Cricetulus griseus: one gene and its partners. Each later gene encodes a partner of the first gene's protein in a complex. Links are inferred from orthologs where the notes say so. Each region holds a gene or a part of one and is shown in the gene's direction. Other genes may lie near its edges. The genes, in order: Kcnd3, Kcnip2 and Kcnip1.

The links.
Region 2: the proteins of Kcnd3 (region 1) and Kcnip2 are in contact, whole or in part, in a cryo-EM structure (PDB 7W6S), measured with the Homo sapiens proteins. The link is inferred for Cricetulus griseus from reciprocal best matches to the Homo sapiens genes KCND3 and KCNIP2. Residues at the interface, in NP_001365898.1 of Homo sapiens: Val5, Ala7, Trp8, Leu9, Phe11, Ala12, Arg13, Ala14, Ala15, Ala16, Ile17, Gly18, Trp19, Met20, Pro21, Val22, Ala23, Asn24, Cys25, Pro26, Met27, Pro28, Leu29, Ala30, Pro31, Asp33, Trp54, Arg60; in NP_775283.1 of Homo sapiens: Arg112, Gly113, Phe114, Asn116, Glu117, Cys118, Val123, Phe128, Ile131, Tyr132, Gln134, Phe135, Phe136, Tyr144, Leu148, Phe152, Phe165, Leu169, Ile172, Leu173, Arg180, Trp183, Ala184, Leu187, Tyr188, Met201, Met205, Ile208, Met211, His228.
Region 3: the proteins of Kcnd3 (region 1) and Kcnip1 are in contact, whole or in part, in a crystal structure (PDB 2NZ0), measured with the Homo sapiens proteins. The link is inferred for Cricetulus griseus from reciprocal best matches to the Homo sapiens genes KCND3 and KCNIP1. Residues at the interface, in NP_001365898.1 of Homo sapiens: Ala6, Ala7, Trp8, Leu9, Pro10, Phe11, Ala12, Arg13, Ala14, Ala15, Ala16, Ile17, Gly18, Trp19, Pro21, Val22, Pro26, Met27, Pro28, Leu29, Ala30, Pro31, Lys34, Lys36, Arg37, Asp39, Trp54; in NP_001030009.1 of Homo sapiens: Leu67, Arg69, Gly70, Phe71, Glu74, Val80, Phe85, Ile88, Tyr89, Phe92, Phe93, Tyr101, Leu105, Phe109, Phe122, Ala125, Leu126, Leu129, Leu130, Leu138, Trp140, Thr141, Leu144, Tyr145, Ile161, Val162, Ile165, Tyr166, Met168, Met169.

Annotation. Positions count from the first base shown.
Region 1 is NW_023276806.1:51,541,627-51,545,977, reverse strand, and holds the start of Kcnd3 (potassium voltage-gated channel subfamily D member 3), read left to right. Parts: upstream 1-1,513; coding exon 1,514-2,619; intron 2,620-4,351. UniProt on the Homo sapiens protein: Pore-forming (alpha) subunit of voltage-gated A-type potassium channels that mediates transmembrane potassium transport in excitable membranes, in brain and heart. In cardiomyocytes, may generate the transient outward potassium current I(To).
Region 2 is NC_048596.1:15,766,244-15,769,143, forward strand, and holds part of Kcnip2 (Kv channel-interacting protein 2), read left to right. Parts: intron 1-504; coding exon 505-600; intron 601-1,379; coding exon 1,380-1,478; intron 1,479-2,033; coding exon 2,034-2,158; intron 2,159-2,451; coding exon of another isoform or gene 2,452-2,496; coding exon 2,497-2,566; intron 2,567-2,735; coding exon 2,736-2,806; intron 2,807-2,900. UniProt on the Homo sapiens protein: Regulatory subunit of Kv4/D (Shal)-type voltage-gated rapidly inactivating A-type potassium channels. Modulates channel density, inactivation kinetics and rate of recovery from inactivation in a calcium-dependent and isoform-specific manner.
Region 3 is NC_048600.1:48,809,399-48,813,046, reverse strand, and holds part of Kcnip1 (Kv channel-interacting protein 1), read left to right. Parts: intron 1-2,626; coding exon 2,627-2,731; intron 2,732-3,648. UniProt on the Homo sapiens protein: Regulatory subunit of Kv4/D (Shal)-type voltage-gated rapidly inactivating A-type potassium channels. Regulates channel density, inactivation kinetics and rate of recovery from inactivation in a calcium-dependent and isoform-specific manner.

The DNA of each region.
Region 1 (4,351 bases):
GCTGGGAGTCAGGAAGCAGGTGAGGGGGCATTCCTGGAGAGATGAAGGCCAAGGTTCATCCCAAGTCTCTGTGTAGTAAGTCATCCAACAGCAAAACCAGACCAACAAACAACACAACAACTCCCAAAGTCACCTCTGCCTCATTTATTTCAATACAGAAATAAACCAACTGAGTTCTAGAGAATCCAAATAACTGAGTTAAGATTTGGCTCTGCACTGTGTGATCAGTTTAGGATTAGTGGAGTTGAGCGTGCCAACCCCAAACAATTTCCCGTCACTGTTACGTGTGTTTCTGTGTCACCACATGTCTTCCCACAGATGGTATACATTTGGGGATTGCAGAGTCATTTCACTATCATCTTTAAAAAGCCAGATCTGGGAAGGTAAATCTGCTTCTCAAAGCCAAATATAGTTCTCTGTGCCATTGTTCCCTCCATCCAGGCAGGTGACGGGGAAATGAGGTGCAGAAAGCTGTGAGTGAAGGGACAAGGGTGCCCAGCCCTGAAGAAGTTCCGAGGGTGCAGGAGAGGACAGGTGAGAGAGCCTGGCATGGGATGGTGTATTGTTATATAATGGGGAACTCTGGGTTCTAGGCAGATGGAGACAGGAGGCGAAGGAGTTAGGGAAGGCAGTGAGCGTGGCTCAGCTTGCTCCGGGGTGGGAGAGGGACAGTATGTGGAAGTCAGGTGGACCAAGAACCCAAGAATTCCTTCGCTGGGTGGGAGAGAGACCCTGTACAGAGCTTCCCCTGGTCTATTCATCATGCGTCTGAAGGCTGCAATTGGACAGTAGGTTGCTAGGGCAAGGATCCAGGCCAAGCATTCTCAAGAGTAAGTTGCAATTTGCCAGAGAAAGCTTTCTCGATGGGAGCTAGGGATGGAACTTTACTAGGCTCTGGACTTGCTGGGGTCTCCCACCTTAACCAAATTTTCTAAACCCAGCCCCAGTCTCCTTCCCACCAGGGAGAAATGTAAAGGGTGTGTTTACTTGATCTCCTTCATTGGCACCCCAATTCCTGATTACCCTGGTGGATGAAGAGTGAAATAAAAATTAGCATGTTTATCCCACTTTTAAATTCGTTTAATGAGAACTCATTTACCCTCTCCCAATTTAAATTCGCAATAACATCCATAACCTTTCAGAGCTAATTATTACCCATCTTCCCAGATCTTCTTGTTAGACACTTTCCTTCCCAAGTACTTCTGGACCCCCCTGGAGCTTGACACTTTGTCAGCCAGTCAGCAACATCTGATGAACTGGTCCTTTGCACAGCCCCTTGTGAGGTACTGTCCTTGTGTCACTGTTAGAGTTGCCTCTTTGGGTCTTTCAGTTTTAACTTGCCTTGGAGACTTGCTGTTTCACACAATGACCCTCCCCTTGTCCCTATCCTACAAAAATCAAAGTAGACTTAGCCCTTTCTCTGATCTCTCCTGTCCCCCAGGGGTCACTGAACTAACTCCAAGCTGGTGTGCACAGTGTCTGAGCAGCTACCAGCCCAAAAGCTGGAGTCACCATGGCGGCGGGAGTTGCAGCCTGGCTGCCTTTTGCCCGGGCTGCGGCCATTGGATGGATGCCAGTGGCCAACTGCCCCATGCCCCTAGCTCCAGCTGACAAGAACAAGCGGCAAGACGAGCTGATTGTCCTCAATGTGAGTGGACGACGGTTCCAGACCTGGAGGACCACTTTGGAGCGCTACCCCGATACTCTGCTTGGTAGCACAGAGAAGGAGTTCTTCTTCAATGAGGACACCAAGGAGTACTTCTTTGACCGTGACCCAGAAGTTTTCCGCTGTGTGCTCAACTTCTACCGCACGGGGAAGCTACACTACCCGCGGTATGAGTGCATCTCTGCCTACGACGATGAGCTGGCCTTCTATGGCATCCTCCCTGAGATCATTGGAGACTGTTGCTACGAGGAGTACAAAGACCGCAAGCGGGAGAACGCCGAGCGGCTCATGGATGACAATGACTCTGAGAACAACCAGGAGTCCATGCCCTCACTCAGCTTCCGCCAGACCATGTGGCGGGCCTTCGAAAACCCACACACCAGCACCCTGGCCCTGGTCTTCTACTACGTGACTGGCTTCTTCATTGCTGTCTCAGTCATCACCAACGTGGTGGAGACGGTGCCATGCGGCACGGTGCCCGGGAGCAAGGAGCTGCCATGTGGAGAGCGCTACTCGGTGGCCTTCTTCTGCCTGGACACTGCCTGCGTCATGATCTTCACAGTGGAGTACCTCCTCCGGCTCTTCGCGGCTCCCAGCCGATACCGCTTCATTCGCAGTGTGATGAGCATCATCGACGTGGTGGCCATCATGCCCTATTACATTGGCCTCGTCATGACCAACAATGAGGATGTGTCCGGGGCCTTTGTCACGCTCCGGGTCTTCCGTGTCTTCAGGATCTTCAAATTCTCTCGACACTCCCAGGGTCTACGAATCCTGGGGTACACCCTGAAGAGCTGTGCCTCGGAACTGGGCTTTCTCCTCTTCTCCCTCACCATGGCCATAATCATCTTTGCCACTGTGATGTTTTATGCCGAGAAGGGCTCCTCTGCCAGCAAGTTCACAAGCATCCCCGCATCTTTCTGGTACACCATCGTCACCATGACTACACTGGGGTAAGTCAGTGCCACTGGCCTGGATAGGGTGAAGTTGGGTTGATTGATCATGAAGCTTTAGGTGGTGTATCAGGATTGAGGAGAGGAAGTTTGGAGATAAAGCCCTTTACTCAAGTCATGGGAGCCAGGGAAGTGGATATACTTAGTCAGCAAAGAAATGAGTGATTTGTTTGTGGGTGGTGACTTGCTCTGGAATTGATTCTATTGGGGCTGAGTGAGGCATGTGTTTTATAAAACATGGGAAATTAAGTCACTGTGTCTTTCCTCCAGACAAGCAGTGTGGTGAGTGTGGTGGCAGGGTGGAGTGCCTCTAAGGACTATGAAGGGGAGGCAGACAGAGCTGGCGGGTGGTGGGGCAGAAGGGTTGTGAGAATTGGATAAATAGTGTACAATCTGTACATGCAGATTTCTTCACCCGTCCTTCCTGCATTTCTCCTTTGTAGTATATTTGCAAGCTGCTTTCTCTTTTGCCTCATTTTTTTTTCCTTTTCTGCTGCCACAGACTAGAGTTTCTCTCAAAGGTCCTGATTTGGGGTTTTCTGTAAAGCAAGGCACCAGTTTCTTTTTTCTCACTAAGGGAGGAACAAGCTTGTTTTATCAGTTAGAGTCAGGGGTGGAATGACCCAGGCTACCTGTGTGCCTGTGAAATAGTCTCAATTGGGTCATGTGGTCAGACAACCAGCAATATCATCAAGAGACAAGTGCTCAGTGAGATGTCAGGTGATGTTCTCTTCCAGATCTCCCAGTTCTCCACTCCACCCAGGTCACAAAAATAAATGTATGGTGCTGGGATGTGAAACGCTCCATCAGAGGAAGGGGTCCCAGGGAGAAGATTGAAATCTCACCCTAACAGGATTAGAGCAAATAAAGGCAGCTTTAGGGAGACATAGATTTCAGAGGGGTTCTGCCTCAGCCTTTGGAAGCCATGAGATTAATGAAAAATCTCTTCACAATTCATATGCTGGGTCTAGATTTGCTTAGACAAGGAAGCATTATATTGCTGATGGAGAATTCATGAAGCTTTTTATTTGGTCTTTGACAATTCAGTTGGTGGCATCCTGGTGATTCAATTTTTTTTTCTTGGATGAAACCCCGTTGTGGTGGTATGGGTTATTCCATAGTGCTGCGTGTGTTTATTGGGAACGACTGAGCAGGTGATTGGACCTTTTAAAGTGATTACATTTGTCATTCTGCCACAAGAGAGGAGCAGGGAGGAACAAGGGCTGTCACCATCCATTTGTGAAGACCATGTTTGATTCAGGCATTCCCTTTACCTCTGTCTAAAGAAAGCTATACAGACATTCTTCCCAATACACACACACACACACACACACACACACACACACACACACACACACACACACACACTATGCATCATGCATACACAGGTGTACACATGTACAACTGTGCTCACCAAATAGCTAGCTGCTCATCAGAGGGAATGTTTAACTCTGGGACTGTGTCTTTCTTGGATCAAATGGCATATGTAAGCTTTTGATACCAGGGGATATTTGGGATAAAGTGATCTAGGGACTTGGCTTCATATTTGTTCCTTCTATGCTGACCCTGGCCATCTTTCACTTTCCTAAAGAAACCTAGCTACCTCATCCCAACCTCAAGCATGATCCTGATGAGATCCCAACTTCCCAGTGTCCTTAGTTGCTTTCTGATGGGATTCATGACAGAAAGGGAGGAATTTGTATTGGGATAAATACCAGGCTGATTGATGGGT
Region 2 (2,900 bases), on another chromosome or scaffold:
GTTTCTGTCATAAATATGTCACTTACCATTCTAAATTACAATATGCCTGTGTGTGTGTGTGTGTGTGTGTGTGAGAGAGAGAGAGAGAGAGAGAGAAAGAGAGAGAGAGAGAGATACTGATTCCTACTCAGAGAGAGAGAGAGAGAGAGAGAGAGAGAGAGAGAGAGAGAGAGAGATACTGATTCCTACTCAGATTCCTTAGAGTAGACGTTACCTTGAGGAATTGGGTTAGCAGTTAACAGTTAACTGAGGCTGCCTTGCTCTTGCCAGCCATTTCTCGTTATACAAAGTGACCATGCCTGGCTCCAGTTGACATTCCATGACTGTGAGACCCAACAGGCAACCTGGCCCCAGCTATCCTGCCCGTCTATACTGCCCCTCATTTCCTTTCCCCACCCCAGCCAGTGTTGATTTGTGATTGGTGGGGGAGCGGACAGGAAAATGGAACGGGGGAGGGGTGCAGTGGGAGTTAATGTGCCTTCCTGGGGTCTTCTCTCTTCCCAGGCCACCCTCCAGGGCCCACTAAAAAAGCCCTGAAGCAGCGTTTCCTCAAGCTGCTGCCGTGCTGCGGGCCCCAAGCCCTGCCCTCAGTCAGTGAAAGCAAGTGCCTCTCCTATGCTTCTGGGGGCGGGACGTGTGTGTGTGTGTGTGTGTGTGTGTGTGTGTGTGTGTGTGTGAGAGAGAGAGAGAGAGAGAGAGAGAGAGAGAGAGAGAGAGAGAGGCGGGGGGGTGATGGGAGGTGGGGTAGGAAGGAACTCACTGGCTGGGTCTGAATGTGAGGCCTGTGGCTACAAATGAATATATTGTCAGATCATGAGTGTCTGTGGCACCCCTGGTCTGCAAAATGGCAGATCAGGGCTCGTATGTAAGAACTGAAGACCATGTGGCCATGGCAGGGTGACTTAGCTAGCTAGGTTGCTCTGCAACTCTGGCTTCTCTACTGTTTAGACCTTGGAATGTTTGTCACCTATGCTCTAACAGTGTGCCAGGTATAGATGGTGGAGTCCACCTTCACAGATGTCAGAGTGCTGAGGTTTTCTGTCCCAGCCTGGTCCTCAACTGAGTGGCCACCAATTTAGTAACCTCCTTTTGTCTATAGGTTCCATTTCCTTGGCTGAGCCTTACCCTCCTTATAAAAGCACACTGAACTTTGCAAGCTATATAAAGGCCCAGTCTGTAATTATTTGATGGTAGTTGCTTAGATGGTGGCACTCGGATGGTGCCACCCGGGGAGTTAATCCAAGAAGGGGCAGTTTGTGAGGAGCCCATGGCACCCTGGATGTCTGTGTTCACTGTGTCTGTGCCTATGCAGTGGGCCTGGGGTTCGCGTGTGGAAACACTCAAGTCTGAGATTTCCTGTGAGTGTGGGGCCAGGGGAGTATCTACAGGGCTTGGTCTTCTTGGTGACAATTCGCTCCCTTCAGCATTAGCTGCCCCAGCCTCCCTCCGCCCCCACAGACCCCGCCCGCTGGACCCAGGTGACTTATTGTCCTGGTTGGGGTGGGATGGGGGGGTACTTGCCTGGGGGCTGGACGGTGGGACTGAGGGTGGAGTCAAGATTGGGGTCTGAACAAAGATTGGCTGGAGCTGGGTGGGGCATGGCTCGGGCATGGCTGGGATGGGTGGGGCTTGATTGGGATTGGGTTGGATGTGGGCTCTCCCAGGCTGGGGCTGGGCCGACCTGAGCTGGTCAAGAAAGGCCCCTGCCTCCAACCCTCAGGAGCCCCTGGTCTCCATTCTGTCCTCTTTCTAAGAAGTCACGGCAAGGGACTGGCCTTCCCTCCCCAAGGCCCAGGGGCCAGTGCTGAGTCTAGACCTCTGACTCTGGAGCCAGGCATGGCCTTAACCCCAACAGACCTCGAGGCCGACCAGTGTCTTCTCCTCTGACTGCCTCAGCTCTGAGTGTGACAGGCTGGCCTTGGGTGTGGAAGCAAGGGCAAGGAGAAGGGGGATGGGTTAATTACTTTGAAGATTACTCAAGCATCTCAGGGGCCTGACCTGAGGCAAAGCTATCCCCCTACCACTCCCCGCAGACAGCGTGGAGGATGAGTTTGAACTGTCCACCGTGTGTCACCGGCCTGAGGGTCTGGAGCAGCTGCAGGAACAAACCAAATTCACACGCAAAGAGTTGCAGGTCCTGTACCGAGGCTTCAAGAACGTGAGTGGAGGGCCTAGCCAACTGGGCAAGGGCTGAATCAGAGAGGCCTGGCTGACTGACTGGCAGTCACCTGGAAAGTATGGCCTGGGTGCTTTGAAGAGGGAGATGGGCCACAGGTCCAGCGTCTAGCCTGAGGTTCAGGGCCCTTGGTGGTGGCAGGCTGGGCTTGTTTATCTGTACAGCGGGGAAGTCTTCTTGCCAGCTGGTACCAGAACTCTGTGGTAAGTTCTACAGAGGCATGGTGATTTTTCCTCCTCCTGGGAGTCTCTGGCCTGAGGGCCATGACTGGAAAGGAAGTCAGGTTTGTGTCTCTGCTCAGTCTGGTTGTCCCTACCCAGGAATGCCCCAGTGGAATTGTCAATGAGGAGAACTTCAAGCAGATATACTCGCAGTTCTTTCCCCAAGGAGGTGAGGAGACAGATGGCTGGGGCATGATGGGTGTCCATCGTTAGGCTGAGGTGGGAAGAAGGGTTCCGGAGGCCTGGGAATGCTGAGGTAGTGGGGGCCGGGCCAGCTGCAGAAACGAAGCAAGCACCCCTGCCTGAAGGCCAAGGTCACATTCCATGCTCATCCCCAGACTCCAGCACCTATGCTACGTTTCTCTTCAATGCCTTTGACACCAACCATGATGGCTCTGTCAGCTTTGAGGTGAGCTAGGAGAGATGGGTCAAACAAGCCTGTTTCCTTGGGCTGGGGGTTGGTGGTCAAGATTTCCACACCAAACCCAAAGAATGGGTTGGTA
Region 3 (3,648 bases), on another chromosome or scaffold:
TTAAAACAACAACGTTTGTATCGTATCGCAAAGGCTCTAGATTCTGACATTTTTATTTATTTATGTATTTATTAACTTTTCCAGCCCAATCAGTTTCCCCTCCCTCCTTTCCTCTCAGTCCTTCCCCACCCCAACATCCCTTCTCCCCACCCCCATCTGTTCCTCTTCCTTTCACTTCAGAAAATGACAGGCCTCCCCTGTGTATCAGGCAGCTATGGCATGTCAAGTATGTATGACTAGGCTCCTCCTCTCCTGTTAAGGCTGGGCGAGTAAACCCAGTAGGAGGAAAGGGTCCCAAAAGCAGGTAGCAGAGTCAGAGACAGTCCCTGCTCCCGCTATTAGGAATCCCACAAGGAGACCAAGCTACACAACTGTAACATATGTGCAAAAGTTTTCATTTTAATCATGTATAAATGCATGGAGGGGTGGGTTTACACAGTAGAGGGTGCCATATGCCTGCGAGTTTGAGTTACAGGCAGTTATGAGCCACCCAACATGGGTGCTGGGAACAGAACTTGGGTCCTCTGTAAGAGCAGTACACACTTATCTTTCCAGACCCAGATTTCAAGCACTCATTAAATAGCAGGTGACCATTTAAAATCACAGATTAACAATTATATGTAATTTCATGTTTTAAAAATCATGTTACAAAGTGCTATTACATCAATTTCATAGACATCTATCTAAGTTCTTATATACATACTTACTTGTATGTATATAAATATTCTAAAATACTCAAATACAACTTTACACAGCATCTAGAGAAGGGAGCTTAGGCTGGATTCATGTTTCCTGATCTTCAACCTTGGTTCAATACATTTTCCCATCATACTGTTGAATAAACTTACTAACTATTCTCTTTATAACAGGCAAAGTAAGCAGAATTACCACCACTAATGTCTATCAGACATCTCTAGATGGCAAAATTAATGGTGGGGTGGACACGAATGTGAGTCAGTCAGTAGCTTCCTGAGACATCATCCTGCAATCATTCTGGGACATTCTTCTCACACCTGCCAGCAATGAGAATCCTGAGCAATCAAAACTGCTCTTTCTGTCCCTGCTCTTTCTGTCCCTTCTTTGATAAAAATTTCTCAAGCAGGGAAGAGCTCAGTGACCACATGGGGGTGAAAGGCCAGTAAAGTGTTGATCTTGAAATGGATATGTGAATACAAACTCATTTCTTAGTTCTATAGGTTGGGGAGTCCTGGAGAAATGACCAACTGATGGCACCAAGGTCATTCTTTCTAAATACCTTTCTCCGATAAAAAAGGATCCATTCTCCTTAGCAAGCTGTCTTTGGAACTGGAGAAGGGGGAGAAATAGAAAATGAACCTGAACCCTGATCAGATCAACCAACTACAGGCATCAGCCTAGAGGAGTTTTAATTGAGGAAAATTAATCAACAAAATAAAACATGATAATATTGGATTGTTACCAACAAAATATAATAGATATCCATAAGTCCAAAGAACTAAATACATAATAAAATAATAAATATGTGAATAAAAGAAGATAGGCATCTCTTGCTAGCAGAAGTATTCCAGTACATCTTCAGTTATTAATAACCTACTTAAAGAAAGCCTCAAGTGCCCTGTGGATGTTGGTTGTTGGCTTCCTTGTCCTAATTTAAAACAGCAACAGAATCATAAAAGGATTTTTTATCTCTGATCTGAAACATTAACTTTTAAAAGGCAATATAGAATAGAATTGCTATTAAAAAATACCATAGTAATCACTTTTGCTGTCAAGGTGTGTTGACAAATACTAAAATCAGAGAGTTGGCAGACAACTCTTTAGTCAAATAACCAAGTAATCACCAGTCATAAGACATAGCCACACCATGTACCTCCCTGATGGTGCATTGACAGGATGGAACAATCATTGCTTCTGCAAGGTCTTGCCCAAACTGACCATCTACAAAACAGCTGACCAGCATCCCCATCATACATGTCAAAGTCCTGAAAACATGAAGAACACACAATTCAACACAAAATGCAATCTCAAGGAGAAAAGCGTCAGTGGGAAAATGGATGAGATATGGATAAACTATGGTTTAGCTAATAATATTGTAGCAATGCTAATTTCCTCACTTTGATTATTTTTCTGCAGTTTTACAAGTTTTAATATTAAAGAAAACTAGGTAAAAGGTATACATGAGCCTTCCGTAATAGTTTTGCAACTTTCCTGTAAGTTTAAAATTATTAATTATGGGTTTAGAGAAAACCTCAAGTGTCCTGTCAATAATCCTTATGTTGGCTACTTTTTTCTTAAAACAGCAACAGAAGCTGTGAGGGTATTTAAAAGGCTAGTCTAAATCATTAACTTACCTTTAAGTCAGAATAATGCTTCATTGTCTCAGTCTGTGAATGTGGAATCCAATGACCTCCCTGAGAACAAAGCAAGAAGAGGTAACCACCCAAGATGTCTGAAGGCAGAGAGGAGTCTGCCATTTTCTCTGAGGAAGGAGTTTATTCTAGTTCTCTAGCTCCCATTCGTCTCTTTTAAACAGTCCTCTTAGTCACTCTGGTTGGCACAAAGAACCCCAAAACCATCCTAAATTCTGTTGCCTAAGAAAGTTTGACCTCATGGTCCCAACAGTGTGTACCTCCATGTCCTCTTCCAGGAGATGATGGACATAGTCAAAGCCATCTACGACATGATGGGGAAATACACCTATCCTGTGCTCAAAGAGGACACTCCCAGGCAGCATGTGGATGTCTTCTTCCAGGTATGTATGCATACTGATTGACCAGGAGATGTTCCTGTGAGGCAGACCAGTGTACATTACAGAAGAGAGCAGAGAGTCTATTATCATTAACTATAAACAGTAGATTCCATAAAAATCTCACAGGACCTGAGTAGAGAAGATTTCATTCATCGCATCTGTGTACTTACTGATCATATTGCAAAGGGGAATAAATGGAAATTAAGGTAAAGCCAGGCTGTAAGATCCTTAAGTGGGGGAGTTTGGCCTTGATCTAGCAAAGGATGGATAGATACTACCGATTATTGAGTGGAGAAGTGGCATCCTTAATTTTAAAAAATATCTAGCAATATAGAGTACTAGAAAAATGTCAGCATTCACCCTAATCCAAGCCTCCCACTTTGCAGCTAGGAAAAGAGATTTCTCTGACATCTTGAAAGTTTAGAGATAGACCAGTTTAGAGATAGACCTTTTGTGTCCAGTGATCTTTCTGCCAGATAGGCCAGCAGAGAACATATGTGCTGTGGTTTGGGTGTATGTCCAAGGTTCATGGGAGCTTGGTCCTCGGTGTGGCAGTGTTTAAGGTCATGGAATCTTGAATGAATGGGGCCTAATGGGTGGACTAGGTCCTTGTGAGCATTGCCTCAGAGATATTAGTGCTATGGCTGCCATGAGCCTGAGTTGAAGGAGAAAATCTGGGCCCTCCTCATTCTCCAGCTTCCTGTTATGTTGTGTGACCTCTTCCACATGTGCTCACTAAAATGATGTCATCCTTCATGAGGCTCTCAGCAGATAGAAACTGGTGTCATGCTTTTAAACCTCTTGAGCAATAAGAATACAGCACCCAGTTCCAGTTATTTTGTTGTAATAACAGGAACAGATTACTACATGTTCGGATGTCACCATAAGAATAATGTAGCAATGAGATAAGTGCTGGGACC